Linked DNA regions of Drosophila melanogaster. Each later gene encodes a partner of the first gene's protein in a complex. Each region holds a gene or a part of one and is shown on either strand. Other genes may lie near its edges. A codon is read from its position in the direction of its gene.

The links. Proteins that work in one complex are often made in the same cells at the same time.
Region 2: the proteins of dlg1 (region 1) and pins are in contact, whole or in part, in a crystal structure (PDB 3TVT), measured with the Drosophila melanogaster proteins. Residues at the interface, in NP_996406.1 of Drosophila melanogaster: Cys808, Val809, Pro810, Arg814, Arg817, Arg824, Asp825, Tyr826, Ile839, His842, Phe844, Ile845, Glu846, Ala847, Gly848, Gln849, Tyr850, Tyr855, Ser877, Asn879, Arg883; in NP_524999.2 of Drosophila melanogaster: Arg434 (codon at 3,611), Met437 (codon at 3,620), Gln439 (codon at 3,626), Leu440 (codon at 3,629), Asp441 (codon at 3,632), Leu442 (codon at 3,635), Ile443 (codon at 3,638), Lys444 (codon at 3,641), Ile445 (codon at 3,644), Thr446 (codon at 3,647), Pro447 (codon at 3,650).

Annotation. Positions count from the first base shown.
Region 1 is NC_004354.4:11,372,200-11,380,631, reverse strand, and holds the start of dlg1 (discs large 1), read right to left. Parts: upstream 4,870-8,432; 5' UTR 4,824-4,869; coding exon 3,914-4,823; intron 3,791-3,913; coding exon 3,659-3,790; intron 1-3,658. UniProt on the Drosophila melanogaster protein: During embryonic development, some isoforms are essential for proper neuronal differentiation and organization. Required for cell polarity; maintenance of apicobasal polarity.
Region 2 is NT_033777.3:27,581,035-27,588,728, forward strand, and holds pins (partner of inscuteable), read left to right. Parts: upstream 1-1,805; 5' UTR 1,806-2,053; coding exon 2,054-3,340; intron 3,341-3,598; coding exon 3,599-4,288; 3' UTR 4,289-5,342; downstream 5,343-7,694. Other genes in the region: CG5639 (uncharacterized protein), read right to left, coding at 5,652-6,931, 7,000-7,694.

The DNA.
Region 1 (8,432 bases):
TAATCCTCCACTAAACCAGCCAGCTTCTTTAAATTCACATTGTCCGTCGGTGTGAAATGGGCTTTAATTGTTGGCTTAGTGCAGTGCCATAGGAGGCATCGAGCAGCTTTTGCTCGGGAAGCGGAAATCAGAAACTGTCAGAATGCATCTCGAATGCATACATTTCAATGCAAACTGACGCCGCCACTGACAGCGGAAGGGAATGGGCGTTGGGGGTGTGGCTGTGCTTATACGAACACACAATATACCCATATGCTGCTGCCAATATGTTTCGCTTCAACAGCAGTCAAGTGGCCCAAATGGGGGAAACTAAAATCCGACTTTTCAGGGAGAAAAAAAAAGAAGCAAAATTGAAACGAAATCCATGGCGCCCATTTAATTTCCTGCGCCCCAAAACAGGGCAGCCCCAAAAAGAGCAAGCGAGACAGCTGGTCGGATAGAACGAGAGAGAGAGAGAGAGAGAGCACGTAATTCCATGGGGCATTGCTGGGCCACCAATATATTGCATGGAAAAGTACGCGCAGTCATTGAAATGTGTGTACATAAAGTACAGCTCACTGGGAAACTAAAGGTTTCCCGGGGGAACTGTGCAAGGCAATTTGAAACTAAATATTTCAAATTTGCAAAGCTGAAAAGAAACACCCTACTAATATTAATCAAGCAGACGAAACTTTCGAAAACGTTTTCGAACATTATTACAAGCTTCAGATACCTAAAAAAATATATGTTGGCCCTACGATTAAACAAGCAGCTTAGCATATATACAAGAAGTTGCTTAAAATTTGTAAATCTTCAATGGAGAATTGCCTGTATTTTATCGAGAGACCACTGTACCACGTTATGCAATGGATTCGGCCACTTGAACTCAAAATGAGTTATCGAATGCTTTAGAATGCTTTCCCGAAAATGCCCTTTTAAGCATTGTTATTTTTTTCATTCCTCCATTATTTGTGTGCCTTCAATTTGTGTTCTGCATGTTTTTCATCGGTATTTGTGTTTGTTTTATTTTTTATTGCGGCCACATTTTTTAGCTGGCCTCAGCTGAATGCCAATGCCGTTGAAAAAGAGATGCTAAACTTCAGGTTACACCATCTCTCTCTATCTTCATCTCGCTGTGGGGAATTCCAGGAAATCGATAAGACCCCTCAAAAGTATCCACAATATATTTGCATACATATGTATGTATCATTTACAATAGCAGGGGATAATAATAGCAGCGATTTCAATCACAATTTATGTAACTTAAAGTAGCAAATAACTTATTGACTTATAGTAAGCTGCGTATAGATTTAAAAATTAATATCTTATGCTTGTTACAGTTTATCTCACGTATAGTGGTTTTATTCGCTTGACCGCAATCGTATCTCACTCGTAAACATATACACTAGTGTATGTATGTAAATGTAAGTGTGCTGCAGATGATTCCAATTCTAGGCCAATTAAATTGGGATTTCGCCCGCACATGGCTCTTCATGACCTTTTGCCCCCCCCCGTCCCGCACACAACCCCTGGCGCATCCTTATCTCTATCCTTCGCTTCAACTTGAGTGTCAATTGTGGTGCCTGTGCAACACTGAGAACCAAGCCAAAAACTATGGCAAAAAAAAATCAAACTCTGATGCCCAAACATAGTTTTTCCAACGATATTACTCATACGCAGTGTTATTCGGTTGCACAGTAGTAGTGCTTTCAAACGCAGTTGAAATGTTTTCAGTGTTATTACAGCATAACAGATTCAATGCAAATATGTTCAACAAAAGCGGGAAAGAGACGGAAAGAGACTGGAATCTAACCTCAAGTTTGATACTATACCCAAAACACACACACACACACATACGTTTCGGGTGTTTGGGATGCGGCTAATACCTTGTTAATTATTTCACACGCACACACATGCATACACCACCTCAAATTCCCTTGGGTGGACCTTAACTGTGGGTTGATTTCAAGGCTGTGAACTCTTTTTATCGTAATACATGTGACCCATATCTATCATAAGAAAAATCAAGTACTGGCATCGTGTTTAAAAACTCTCTTCTTCAATTTAGTTTAGCTTTCCTTCTAAACTAGCAGAGCGACGTGACTGATCATGTTCTGTCGAAGTGCGACCCTGCGAGTTTTTAAGTTAAGGTCCACCCTTGTGTTTGGCCATACAAAAGCTCCTGTTTTCTAACGTGTCACGTGTTTGGCTTGTTTGCATTTGAGTTTGTGTGTGCTTGTTAGCCGTTTAACATTTCTGACACGCCAAGCGCAGCCACTGAAACTGTAACGATAACGGGAGAAGAGGAAGCACCAGCGGGATACGCCGAACAAGAGGAATAGGGACAAGAAGAACCAAAACAATGGGAAGAATGGAAAGAGGTAGGGGGAGAGGACCCAAGCGAAACGAAACGAAAAGGATTATGCAACTGCCACTGACAGCGGGCAACACAATTTGCACCCAGGGGTCCAATAGAAAGGGACGGGGTCACAGAGCGAGACGCGGAGCGAGCGGGAGAGAGCCATAGGGGACTAGAATGAGATGGAGCACGGCGGTAGAGCAGAACTTTTGCAAATTATACAACAGGCAAGACCCACAAAACAGACAACTGCAAACCAACCGCCCGTCTCGAAATGGATGGACATATGGACAGAGAGAGATGAGAGGCGGATACGTTGCTGAAAAAAAGAAAAGATGGGCGAGCAAAAAAAAAAGTGTACTGCAAACAGTGCTGCCAAAAATCCAAAAGTAGCTAAGAGCTAATCCAGACAAAACTGTCAAATGAGAAAAACAAGCTGTCAAATCTTGGGCAAAAATGTCTCAATAAATGGGAACGGCTTAAAAAACTGCTTAAATATACAATGATAAGGCAACAATGGCAGGGAAATTAACTTTTCTTAATAGGAAAGTATTTAGTTATAGTGATAATTAGGTTCATCTTAAGCTTGAGACTATAGGTAATATGAGGGAAACCAACAAGTTGCTAGTGAAAATCAATGGCTCCTTCGCCATATGCCACCAAAATGCACTCCATGATGCAACTGGAGCACTAATCAGGCCGTCTATCGACCCTTTTGAGTAACCAGAGTCGGTAAAGAAAAAAAAAACAAGCTGAATTAGCCGCATTACTATGGGACGCTTGCTGTTTCCATTGCGCTGCGCTGCTTGGTCTATTTGACCCAAATCCTATGCAATATTATCGTTTTGCTGTCGCTGTTGCTGCAATTCCCTTTGTTGCTACTTTGTGCTCACTGCTTGCTTGTCAAGTGAAAATAATTTGCAACGCGAGGGGAGGGACAAGAAAATCGATAGGCGATAGGCAATGGACGATAGACAACTGCACAGATAAGAACTACTTTTCAAGGATCTTTCTTTCCGGCTCATCAACTACTTTCTAACAATCTTGGCACAAAGTTCGCAACTTTGTTTGCGTTTAAAGTTTCAGAATCAATAGACGATGATGATGAGCTTGGTTAAGGCTCTTGCTTATAACGAACTTGTGAAAAACTTATTTAGCACACTGACCTATATAATAAAGTATTTCACAAAAATGCACTTATCTAGCGGCAATTATTTAGATATTTTTAAAGGCAAAAACTTACGAGCGACGCGAATAGCGTCTAAGATATACATATAGGATATTTTCATCGATTTAATCGATACATTATCGATTACTCACCTAACAGCGCTTGAAACAAGCGAGATTTAAATATGCGTATAACGCGTTCGATTGCAATACGCAGCGCCCGATCCTGCGGCTCCGAAAGTCTCGCGTGGTAGTCCTCGAGCAGCTCGAGAGCCCGATGAGCTTCTGAAATATATAGAGAAAAGAATATGGTTAGTACAAATGATCTTCGATTGTTTTATTATGAAATCAACCCAAAAGACCAAGGGATTCTGCCTGCCCATTTTTCCCCACTGGATTAGTGCCTACTCTGTATGTCCGCAATGCGCTCCTCCTCATCCTGACTGATCGCCAGACCCGCCTGGCCGAAGATCGTTGACCAGAAGCCCCTCTCGGAACCCTGTTCCGAACCACTTTCCCCAGCCGCATCCTGTACGTGGGATCTCTGCTTGGGCTTTGGCTTCGCCTTGCTCTTGGCCTTCAACTGCAGCTCCGATTGCGATTTCTCGAGACTTTCCCGCTCGAGAGTCTCGATCATGGTGCGAAATCGGCTCAGTTCCATGCGCAAACCCTCGGCACTGTGGCGACTCGACGAAGAGACGGAGAGTCCGGAAATGCCGGAGAGAAGGCGACAACGGGCTGCGCCCGAGGATGACGACGACGGACCCTCCCACTCGTCGCGCGAAGCATCGCTCTCGGACTTCTCAAAGTAGCCAGACTCCACATCCGGTGTTCGGACCATCGAAGTGGAGGACAGCATGTGTCCGTACTCGAGAAGATCCTGGGCGGAATAGAAGCATTCAACGGACTCGCGGACACTATCGCGCAGGGATGTTGGACACTTCGGAGGCTCGGGATCCGGTTCGGTTACGGTCTCCATTTGGTGTTCCATCACCTCCAGTTGCGAATCCCCATCCATATCGCTAGCTTTGGCAGCTACTGCCACCGGATTGGTATCATCGATTTCTTGGCGCACTTCTATGGCTTCCGCCGACGGCTGTACCAAGACCACCAAAGGTGGCTGGTCTTGGTCGCAGCGAATCTGTGCCTTCTTCTGCGGCAGCAGGCACTCCTCCTCCTCGGGCTCCTCCTCATCGTCCGCCGGAGAGGAATCCTCCGCCGGTTCATCATCGTCGTGGAATGTCTTGTCATCGCTACTGAGCAGTCCCTCGTTGGGATCGCTGCTCTTCTCCCGCTCCGAGTCCGTATCCGAATCCATTACCAGGACCAGCCAAGAAGACACCTCTCTTCGCGCCCAAGTGCCGCACTCAACTGGCTAGACTTTTGAGCTCTATTATGGTTCTATAGTTTGGTGGCTGCTACCGCCGATAAATCAATAAAGATTGACGCTTTTTAAACATTTTTCACCGCTTGTCGGACGCCAGTTATTAACGCTTTTTTTTTTTTGTTTTTTTGTTTCCATGAAGGGTGTGTGCCTAAAATTCCCCATCCTAAATGCTTTAACTTGAAAATCTGAATAGCAACGAAGTTGTGTGTTGCTGCGCATAGTTTGATGTCCCCATGCGAAGAGGTCAGGGGTCAAGTGCCATACCGTCGCTGGCTTGTCATTCGTGCCGCGTTTGCCAAAAAATTAAACACATAATTTATTATTATAATCGAGTCGCATTATGGTCCCAAAACACACGCACACACACACACATACAGAGCACACAAACCAAACTATACATACTCGTATCTAAATGAACATTGTATCTGTGGCCGCAGTTTGATGTCCTCAGCACGCGTCAAACGCCGACGTTGACCTTCACTGACCATTTGCGAGGCTGCTGGCAGCGCTTTTCCCCGGTTTTCCCATTTTCCGTCTGCTGCGGCTCCTCTCTTTCCCCCTCCCCCTTCCCCCTTCCGCACCATTTCATTTCATCTCTTCTGTTGGCCATTTGAGTTGCCCAAATATGATTTGTATGTGACATAATCAAATAAAATTCTTTGTCTGCATTAATTTAGCTGGTTTTTTATGTATTTTTTTTTTTTTTTTTTGTTGCATAGCTTCCAATGCACAGTTGGATACATTGTTTGTTTGGCCAAAAGTGCCATCTCGTGTGTAATTGGAAGCAGCTTTGCTGGCTAACTTTGCGCAGCACGTAAAAGTTAAATGATCTACTAAAATTACAATTGAAAAACTAATGCCAACTTTCTATATACTATATGGTGCTTAAAACTTTCACCAGCAAATCAATGCAGTTTTGCATAGACATAGCTTTTTTAATAGGTTCTAACTTTATTTCACAATAGTTAAGGTTATTTTTCTAAATTTGTTATGCATAGAATTATGTAAAATGTGATCTTAAACCATTGTGTTAAGTTTTAAACTACTTTTTCAATTGCTGAAAACTGGCAAACAGTTTTCACTGTCCACCATTCATAAGGTCCATTCAATTGAATGGATTTCCACGTAATGCCAAAGACAGATATGTAGAACAGAAAATAAAAAAAGAAGAAGAAGGAGGGAAAGGTGGGAAAGGTGGGCAGTGAATAAAAGTGCAATTTTTCGCTTACCTTGCTTTTTCACTGGCATTCTGTGAGCGGTGTTTCTGCTACTATTTATGGTGGTGCTGGTGGAAATGGCAGCGGAAATGGCGGTGGTGCAGCAGCTTTGATTGTGGTTCAACGCCGCCGAACTGGGAAAAGCGTGGGTCGCAATTTTGAGAATTTACTGGAGTCGCTTTCGAGTGGAAATGTGCGGAAAAATCGCTTTGGCTTTTCCTTGAGTTCTCCTCCTTTTAGTTTCGCCAGCACATCTGTATATATATCTGATATATATGTATATATATATATATACTATTCGATGGTGTTTTATGTACAAATATTGTTTTGTTAGATACTTTGGCTTTCGAACAAAGTTCGAGATTTGTTGTTTTTTTTTTAATTTTGCGCTTTCAGTTTGCTAGTTTATTTTTTAATTTCTTTATATATTTTACTTTTCGTTTTCTTGGGGCAGCTTTGTGGTTACATTGACGTGTGCGTTTTCTCTCGATTTCTTTGCGATTTTCACATTTCACAGCTCAATGGCTCCTCACATTCACATTCGGTTCTATAGCATTTATGTTGCACTTTATATTGCAATGCGACTATCATCGAAATGTCGTACTTTCCTCGTCACAACACAACAACACCAACACAAAAAAAAACTCAGATCGTTTATTTGCTTACTTCGCGTTCACTTGATTTGATTCTATATTGCATTCACCATCTGAAAGTCGAAAGAAAAACAAGTGGAGAAGGTTTGAGGAACACGGCTCCTTTGGATTTTTTCTCAACGGCACCCATTTTGTTGTATAATCATAAAAACAAAAAAAAAAAAAACAAAAATTACGAAAATTGCAGACACACACGGGCGCAGTTGAATGCGCTTCCGATTGCAACAAAATGGGTACAGTGGTAACTCGCTGCGTGGTATTTCGTATCTAACTTCTATTGATCAAATATTAATAGCATATTCTTCAATATGCAAATATTTTTATGAGAATTTTAGCAGAATTGTAAAGTATATTCAATGTTTCAGCATCAGTTAAATATGATGCTACACTGAAAATATTCCTATAATATTATAAAACACCGTTGTCCATTATCGAGTGACCACTGTAGCTGACTCTTTTTTTCAGACACTCATATTTGGGAAATAAGAAAAATTGAATAGCGTCGCAGCGATGTCGAAATTCTCGTCTGCCCGCTTGTTTCGCGATCGCCATTGTCGAGCTGATTCCGATTTTATTCACATATTTTCGCCAGTCTGTGTGAGTTGGCTGCTTTTTGCTATTTCAGCTAAATGGTTTTTTATTTCTGCCATGCAGTTGATCTAGTTTCACTTGAAACAAAAAAAAAATGAACAAAAAAGAACTCATAAACAAGGCAAGAACCGAATACAGTGAATGCTGAGAGTTGAATTTCGCAGTGCCTTTGGCTTGATAACTTGTTACATTGGCCAGGTCGAAAGACCAAAATTCCGCACACCCGCACCGCACACAGACACACGTCCAACTGAGGCAATAACGGTGCTCTGCTTTTGGCCCTCAATCGCCAGCCTCTCGCCCCCTCTCCTCCTCTCACCCATCCTCTCAGCTGGCCGCCACCTCTCTCTCTCTCTCTCACTCTCTCTCTCTCTCTTCGACCGAGAATCCCGAGCGATTCTCGTCGAGCGCCGCTCGCCGGACCAACAATTAGTGCCTGCACATATACTCGTACACCGGATGCCATGCCAGATACCAGATGCTATATGGCTATATGGCCACGTATCTTTCTATCTGTCTACCTTTATACCATTCTATCTTTCTACCATTATATCTTTCTATCATTCAAACTATCTACATTTCTATCTTTATATCTTTCTATATTTCTATCTTTCTATCTATTTATCCTTATATATATTTATCGTTCTACCTTTCTATCTGTTTATCTTTCTACCATTCTAGCTTTCTAACTATCTATATTTCTAACTTTATATCTTTATATCTTTATATCTTTCCATCTTTCCATCTTTATATCTATCTATATATCTAGCCAATGGAATGGTATATGGTATATATTAGTACAAATTTATTATTTTGCCTTTGGTTTGCTATAAGGAGTATTGGCTTTTAGATAAAATGTTTATATTTCCATAATTTCCAAACAAACATGTGCAATACTTCGCTCTACTGCCCTACCAAGCGATATCAACAAACTCTCTGGCCAATTTGTTTATAGATCAAATAAATAAGCCAAACACACAATTCAGATTCGCTTAGGGTAGTCCCCCGACATTGGAAATTAACAAGAAACCAAATCATAATAAAGTTTATGTGAGCGATGAGCGATAAAATAAACATTT
Region 2 (7,694 bases), on another chromosome or scaffold:
TGAAACACCGAATTGCGTCTGGGGATTTAGCCGCTTACTGCGCACTTGAAAAATTTGCATTCGCCTTGGAAATTTGGCTTTAATTTTGCACTCGGCTTTGTTTAGTTGCCTTTTATTTCTCCTTCTTTATTCGGGCTTGGAATTTTCGCTGCAGAATTTATTAAAAACCGACTGCGTATGTGTGTATATAAAAGATTTCTATATCTTTTGCAACCGACGACGAAGGCGGCATACGGCAACTGTGGCGATATTTTTTTCCTTCGTCCGACTCTCGCGCTCTCTTTTCGTTTTCGGCTTGCTCTCTCTGGCACATGGGTATATACTATACGCGAGAGGGAGCAGGCACACACAAACGAAAAGCCTGCCTCCAATTGATTAGTATTAGTACTTCGAATAGTATTACTATTGTTATTGTTTTCATCTAGCTGACTTTCAATTGTTTGGTGCTGATATTTAGCTAGATTCCCCAGGTGCGATTACTCATTTGGCTTTTGTTTCGAGACCACTGTGCCAGATTTCTGGGTGAGAGCGTGGTGAGTTTCGTTTCAACTCACCACAGAAACTGTTGTTGCGCGTCGCGCTCTCTATTTAGGCGGCTCTCTCCCACACACGGTCACACTACAGTCCCAAAAATGAATGAAAATACCACAAAATACCATCCAACGCACGGGCACACCGGCGAACTGAAAGACGCCGCTGCTTTCAAGTTTTTCTCCCGTTTTTATTTCCTATCGAGGGCGATAACCAAACAAGGCTATCGTTATCGACCTCTCGCTCGCTCTGTATCCCTCCTTCCCTGTCGCACTCGCTCTCCTTTTGTGTGGCTAATTTTTTCCTTTTAGTCCTTTTTTCGGTTGCCTTCGTGCAGAAATTCCCTGCTTTATGTAATTTAGAACACAATGTTTGCGTTGCACTGTTGGCCGACTGCAGCTGAAAACCGCACAAAAAAAGCGACGCACACACACACCTTCGAGCATCCGGACTTCCAATTTGCACTGCTTTTCTAACAGTCTATCGCGCACGCACTGCCACAATTTCACCCGCTTATCGCGCCGCAATATGGGACGTTCGCTTTTCAATCGATTTTGGTAACCGGCAGGTGCGCTTTATGCGAGAATTACGAATTTTCTCCAGCGGCAACTAGAATCGTTCACACAGACACCGTAGAAGTGACGCCATCTTTGAAGCGATTAGTGTTGCAAAGCGCGTCTGCAAAAGTGCTGGCTACCAACTACGGTTGATAGGGATGAGGGCTATGGCTTGTTGACCGAAAATGATAAATGTTAACTATGCCAATATATTTTAGATTTTACTAATACGTTACAAAAATAAGAAAAGACTATGATAAAATTGTGTTTTAGCTTGGCTCATAAGTATTGATCCTTTATAAGCTATGGTCTTGCAGTGGCTAACATTTCTCAAATTAGGGCAACCATCTGATAAGATTTCTAATTCGAATTCTAATAAATGAATTTAAACTGCTTTTTCTTAAAGTTAAAAAAAAATTAGTTTTAAATCAAACGGCATGCATACATTAACCATCAAACAATGTAATTATATATATAATATTACCAATTGGGCTACTAAATATTGCTGATATGTAAGCTATGGTCATGAGGTAAAGGCATATTATTTATATAATTTTCATAGTATCTTTGTTGTAGGGGAAAAATAACAAGTAATTTAAAATTGTTCAATTGACTTAAAACAAAATATAACAGATATTATTTTTAAATCCAACGACATACCATATAAAGTTGGTATTTCTTTCTAATCTGCTTGGTATTCTCATCGACCCCAATCGGTCACACTGGTCGTGAATCAGAAACGCACTAATTAGTCAAAAAAACGGTACAAAAGATCGCTTAATTGCTGAAATTTCACCTGTCGCAGTTAAGTTTACCCACCAGCAGTTCAAAACCAGCCAGAGGCTAGCTAAAAACCCCAAAGATCGACCCCAAAACATCGCCGCAAAGTGGACAACTCCCAGTTTTCAGAGCACCTGCCCCTCAAAAAGGAGCATCGCGACAAAAAGGCGAGACTTCGCAGCAGAATGTCCTCGCTCTCTGCGTCCGCGGAGAATGTGTCCAGTTTGGGACTGGGATCGGGCGGAGGAGGAACTACTTCCCACGACGGCAACTCCCAGCAGGGTTCCGGATCCGACGGAGGATCCAGTATGTGCCTGGAACTGGCCCTCGAGGGTGAACGCCTCTGCAAGGCGGGTGACTGCCGGGCGGGCGTGGCCTTCTTCCAGGCGGCCATTCAGGCCGGAACCGAGGATCTTCGCACTCTGTCCGCCATCTACTCCCAGCTGGGCAACGCCTACTTCTACCTAGGCGACTACAACAAGGCGATGCAGTACCACAAACACGATCTTACGCTGGCCAAGAGCATGAACGACCGACTGGGCGAGGCCAAGTCCTCTGGCAATCTGGGCAACACCCTCAAGGTAATGGGTCGCTTCGACGAGGCGGCCATCTGTTGCGAGAGGCACCTAACGCTGGCCAGGCAGCTGGGAGATCGTCTGTCCGAGGGACGCGCTCTTTACAACCTAGGAAATGTCTACCACGCCAAGGGCAAGCACTTGGGTCAGAGAAACCCTGGAAAGTTCGGCGACGATGTCAAGGAGGCGCTCACCCGTGCCGTGGAGTTTTACCAGGAGAATCTGAAGCTCATGCGGGATCTGGGTGATCGTGGTGCTCAAGGTCGAGCTTGTGGTAATCTGGGAAATACCTACTACCTACTAGGCGATTTCCAAGCGGCCATTGAGCATCATCAGGAGCGACTGCGCATTGCCAGAGAGTTTGGTGATCGCGCGGCTGAGCGAAGGGCCAACAGTAATCTTGGCAACTCGCACATATTCCTGGGACAATTCGAGGACGCCGCCGAACACTACAAACGCACCTTGGCTTTGGCCGTTGAGTTGGGTGAACGCGAAGTGGAGGCCCAGAGTTGCTACAGCTTGGGCAACACCTACACGTTGCTGCACGAGTTCAACACTGCCATCGAGTATCACAATCGACACTTGGCCATTGCCCAGGAGTTGGGCGATCGAATTGGTGAGGCCAGGGCCTGCTGGTCACTGGGCAATGCCCACTCTGCCATCGGTGGTCATGAGCGGGCCCTAAAGTATGCGGAACAGCATCTTCAACTGGCCAAGGAGCTGCACGACCCGGTGGGTGAAAGCACAGCCAGGGTGAACATCTCCGATCTACGAAAGCTACTCGGAATGCCCGACTCCGAGCCTTCACCCACCGAGGAGGAGGCTCGATCCACCGCCTCCGATCACTCGGCCAGCGGAAATCAGTCGGATGGATCGGAGAACTCGCAAGGAAGAATGGTAAGAGAAACGAGCTGCAACAACATAAAGCAATATGAATGATTCCTGAGATATTTTTAAACAATACTGGCAGTCCGTTTGTTCTATTTTTCGAAGTGGACACCTGCTGCTTGCAGTGTTTGCCCCTTTATGTTAGCGTAAATATTTATACTTTGTACCAAAACACATCGTTAAACTTTCGATTCGAGCACATGCTGAGAAATTGAAACCCCTGAAAGATACATAGCTAAATTTATTACTTTAATTGCTTCCCGTCAGGTGCGCGTTCGTCGCCAGAGCATGGAGCAGTTGGACCTGATCAAGATCACTCCCGATGGAAAGCGCATGCAGGAGGAAAAGCTACGAGCACAGGCGACCAGGAAAGCCAAAGACGACGACTTTTTCGAGATGCTTTCGCGGTCGCAGTCGAAGCGCATGGATGACCAGCGCTGTTCGATCAAGGTGAATCCCGCCGGAGCTCCGGCGGTGGCCACTGGCGCCACGCGTAAGCCGCTTGTGCAGCAGAACTCGTTGTTCGTGGATCCCACCAACCTGCCTGGCCTCAAGTCACCGTCGTCGGCGAATCCATCAGCCATTGGACATGGGCCGCTCGCCAGGAGCGCCACCACTACGCAGCAGCCCGATGATGACTTCCTAGACATGCTTATGCGCTGCCAAGGCTCGCGTCTGGAGGAGCAGCGGTCCGAGTTACCGCGCCCCAATGTCACCATGGACGCAGAGGCGGAGGCACCACCGCGATCCGTCCCAGAGGCTGCTGTTCCAGGGGCACCACGCGGACAGACCGGACGTGGAGCTACCGTCCCCGATGAGGACTTCTTCTCACTGATCATGAAGGTCCAGAGCGGTCGCATGGAGGATCAGCGCGCCTCGATTCCGTTCCGAAATGCCAACAATAACAACAATAGCCGCAGCAACAACAACGGTTCAGCCGGCGGAGCTGGAAAGTAGAGAGTTGTAGTCCAAAAAGCTGAAGTCCAACCAAACAATCCTATAAATCCATCCCTGGCCGCAGCTCCTGACTCATTTCGTTGTAAGCCCATCTTGCGGCCATTTATTCAGTCGTTTATTTTCGGAAATTGGCTGCTAAACATTTTGTTCTTTTACAAGATTTATATATACACACGTACACGAAAAGCATTAATTTATGAATAGCAACTAACCACGTAACCAAATATTAGGGGTGTATAGGGCCTCGTCTACACGAGCAGAGGGAGGAACCTCCAACGGATGCACACACTCATCCACTCATGACTCATTACATACTCCACCATGAGCTGGCCATGATATTGAACGATATGCACTCGAGTCTTACGATATTAACGTTTTAATTGCATGTGCAAGTAGTTTAAGCCGGATAATACTAATGTACTAATCCAATTTGCTCAATAGACGGAACCAAGTCTTCTCTACGATCAACGATCTTACATTCTCGTAGCCACATTCAGCTAAATATTAAGTTTTAAGTCCATCGAACCCACTCTACATGTAAGCAATGCATTTTCCAAATCAAAATCTAACTACAGATATATCCAATTGTAACTATGAGTATTGCATTTTTCTATCAATCTATCGATCGATCTAAACTCTGAACATATTTTAAGCCACTTACAATTTTTGTTAGTATATTAACAAGACACAAAGAATAGCAGCTCGGAATTCCATTTGAGGACCGGCGCTTGTGCAAGCACTTAGCATACGATATACACAACCAATCATACTTACACATATACAAGAAACATATGAACAATATATATATAGTTATACCAATGTCTAACGATTTGCCTCTTCGGGTATTGTTCTACACAATATATACAATACAAGTTATATATACACAAAACAAAAACACAAAACTGAGTTCGAGTTGTACGAAATGAAGCCAAAATTTATTAATGTTATACTTTTTTGTAGCACGAGATCTACGGGATCTGCGAATGAAAGATACCATACAGGCGGACAATTATGTCGTGTATTATTAAATATTAAAATCAAAAAATGTTTGCTGACACGTTCGTGATTTTTATTCCAAGATAAGGGTTTTAGATTCAGATACTTAAAGATCATATCAGTATGTGACAAAAAAAAAAAAAAGACTATTTATTCGACTTTAAAGCTTTATTCATAAATTAATCGTCTTAGGTTGCTAGAACATATGCGATAAGTATTCGAAAGTGGGTTCCCTCTAGTCGCACTCCCCTTTTGGCTTAGTTGGGGCAGAATCAAGGCCTCTGATCTCTTCTCCCCCCTAAAAGTAGATCTTAAATTTGCTCTGTTTTATTTACAAATTGATTTAGATAACTCAACAACGGAATGCCTACGCGGCGAACCCCTTCTTGCTGTCCATGTCGGCGGCCAGCACGAAAATGGGTGCGGAGTAGTCCACAGGCTTGTCGCCTCCTTCGCCCTTCAAATAGGGATTCGCCGCCTTGAGGTTCCGGTTTCGCTTCAGCATGACATAGACCACAAATATGCTGACCAGGAAGGCGGAACTGGTGGCCATTATGAACAGCACCAGCTGGATGGACTCGTCCTGGGCGGTGGCCGCCTGAGCCACTGGGACATGAGCACTGCGGTGCACAAAGTGGGAGCGGGTCAAGTCCGGCCGGAAGTGACCGCCCGCCAGGCGGAAGTCGCCGGCGGAAATTGCCGCCTCGATGGCAAAGGCCAAGTCCACCTTGGCCTCGTTGTGCAGCTCAAAACGGACAATAGCGGATCCATCGAAGTTCTCTTGGACGCGCAAGTTTTCGACGGACTCACCGCCGAGTAGCTGCTGCAGTTCCCGCCGGATGGTGTCGTAGGCATTCCTTATACTCCGGCCACTGCTGTTGGTCAGATGGAGTTCGATGGCCACCGCCTCTATCGGAACATGACTGCAGCGACGATCGCCAGCTCCAAAGACGTGGGTGGACTGTAGCTGGTTGCCGGCCGCATCGACGCACCAGCAACTTCTGCCGTTGCACTGCAGCGGGCGGAAGGCTCCTGCCTCATCGCAACTGACCGGGAATGGTGCCGTTTTCGACAGAGCTCGACAACGTGTGGTCTTCAGCTCCATGGGTTTCAGGGTGGCCTGCTCCACGGATAGCTGAGAGTCCAGCAGTGAGTTCGCCAGCTCTAGTACTCTCTCCGTAACACTGGACTCCGCTGCACTGGCGGTGGCAGGCAGCACCCTAGCCTCCAGCTCATCGAAGTCCAGATCCTCGCTAGCGACATCATTCAGTTGGGTGAGCTGAGCAATCAGTTGCTCCATCAGAGGATCGCCAGAATCGAATGCCTTGCGGTTACGAGCCTGTCGACTATTGCATATGGGTTCGCTCTCCCGGGTGAGGGTTCCCTTTAGAGGAGCACCCTTCTTGTCCGCACACCAGCAAACTCCGGGCGCTTCCTCGCCAGCGGATGCAGCTGGTTCCGATGCAAAGGCGCGACTAACGATCTCCGTGTGCCTGTCCATGGGTTGGGGCTGCTTGCCCAAGCATTGCACGGGACTCCAGTGGCCAGTGACTGGGTCACATCTTGGTTGGAACCAAACTGAGGAGTGTCCTGTTCGCTGGGCAGCCAGGTTGTTCTTGAGCTTCAGGCGCTCGCATTGAGTGAGCACTGGGGACGAGACGAATAAATGGATTAACGAGGAGTTCCAAAACCAAAAGCGGAGGCTACCATCTTACCTGGACACACGGAGTTGCAGGCGAGTTCGTTGTGGAAGAGGTTCTTAGTTTGGCAGGCGGGTGCCTCGGAGTCGATGACCACGGGTAGGCACTTGTTTGCCTTGGGACTGAACCTATAGCGCGTGCTATTTTTCTCCGATTTGCCAGTGGCCAGACAACCATTATCCATGGACTCGAAGCAAACATCACGGGTCTTGGAGCAGCAAACACCACGGTTATTGACCGGATTCAGCTGACAGGAGTGGGTGGTGGGGCACACTTCGTGCTCATTGTGGGGTCCACAGCTCATGTCCAAGTCGCCTTGCTGGAGAGGATTACCCTCGGGACAAATGGAGGCTCTTCGGGGCACACATATGGGCATCTTCGGGCACGGACTGTCCACACATTCCACAGAGATCAATTGGCATTCCTCGTGAGGGGAGCAGCTTACTTCGTTGCAGTAGTTTCTACACTCGCAGGTGGGACAACCATTGGAGTCCATCTGGTAGCCACTCTCGCACTCTAGGCTGCAGTTCGTCTTTGGGCACGCGAAGCTAGAGTTCTCCTGGCATTTGGGTGTTGCTGGAGATTTGACCCTTGTGCCAGGCAGGATTTTACCCTGATCATCCACACACCAGCAGTGACCATCGGGTGAGCACTGGACCTGATTCCATTTGCCATTATTTGGGTCACATTGGGCCACCGCCATTTGCCGG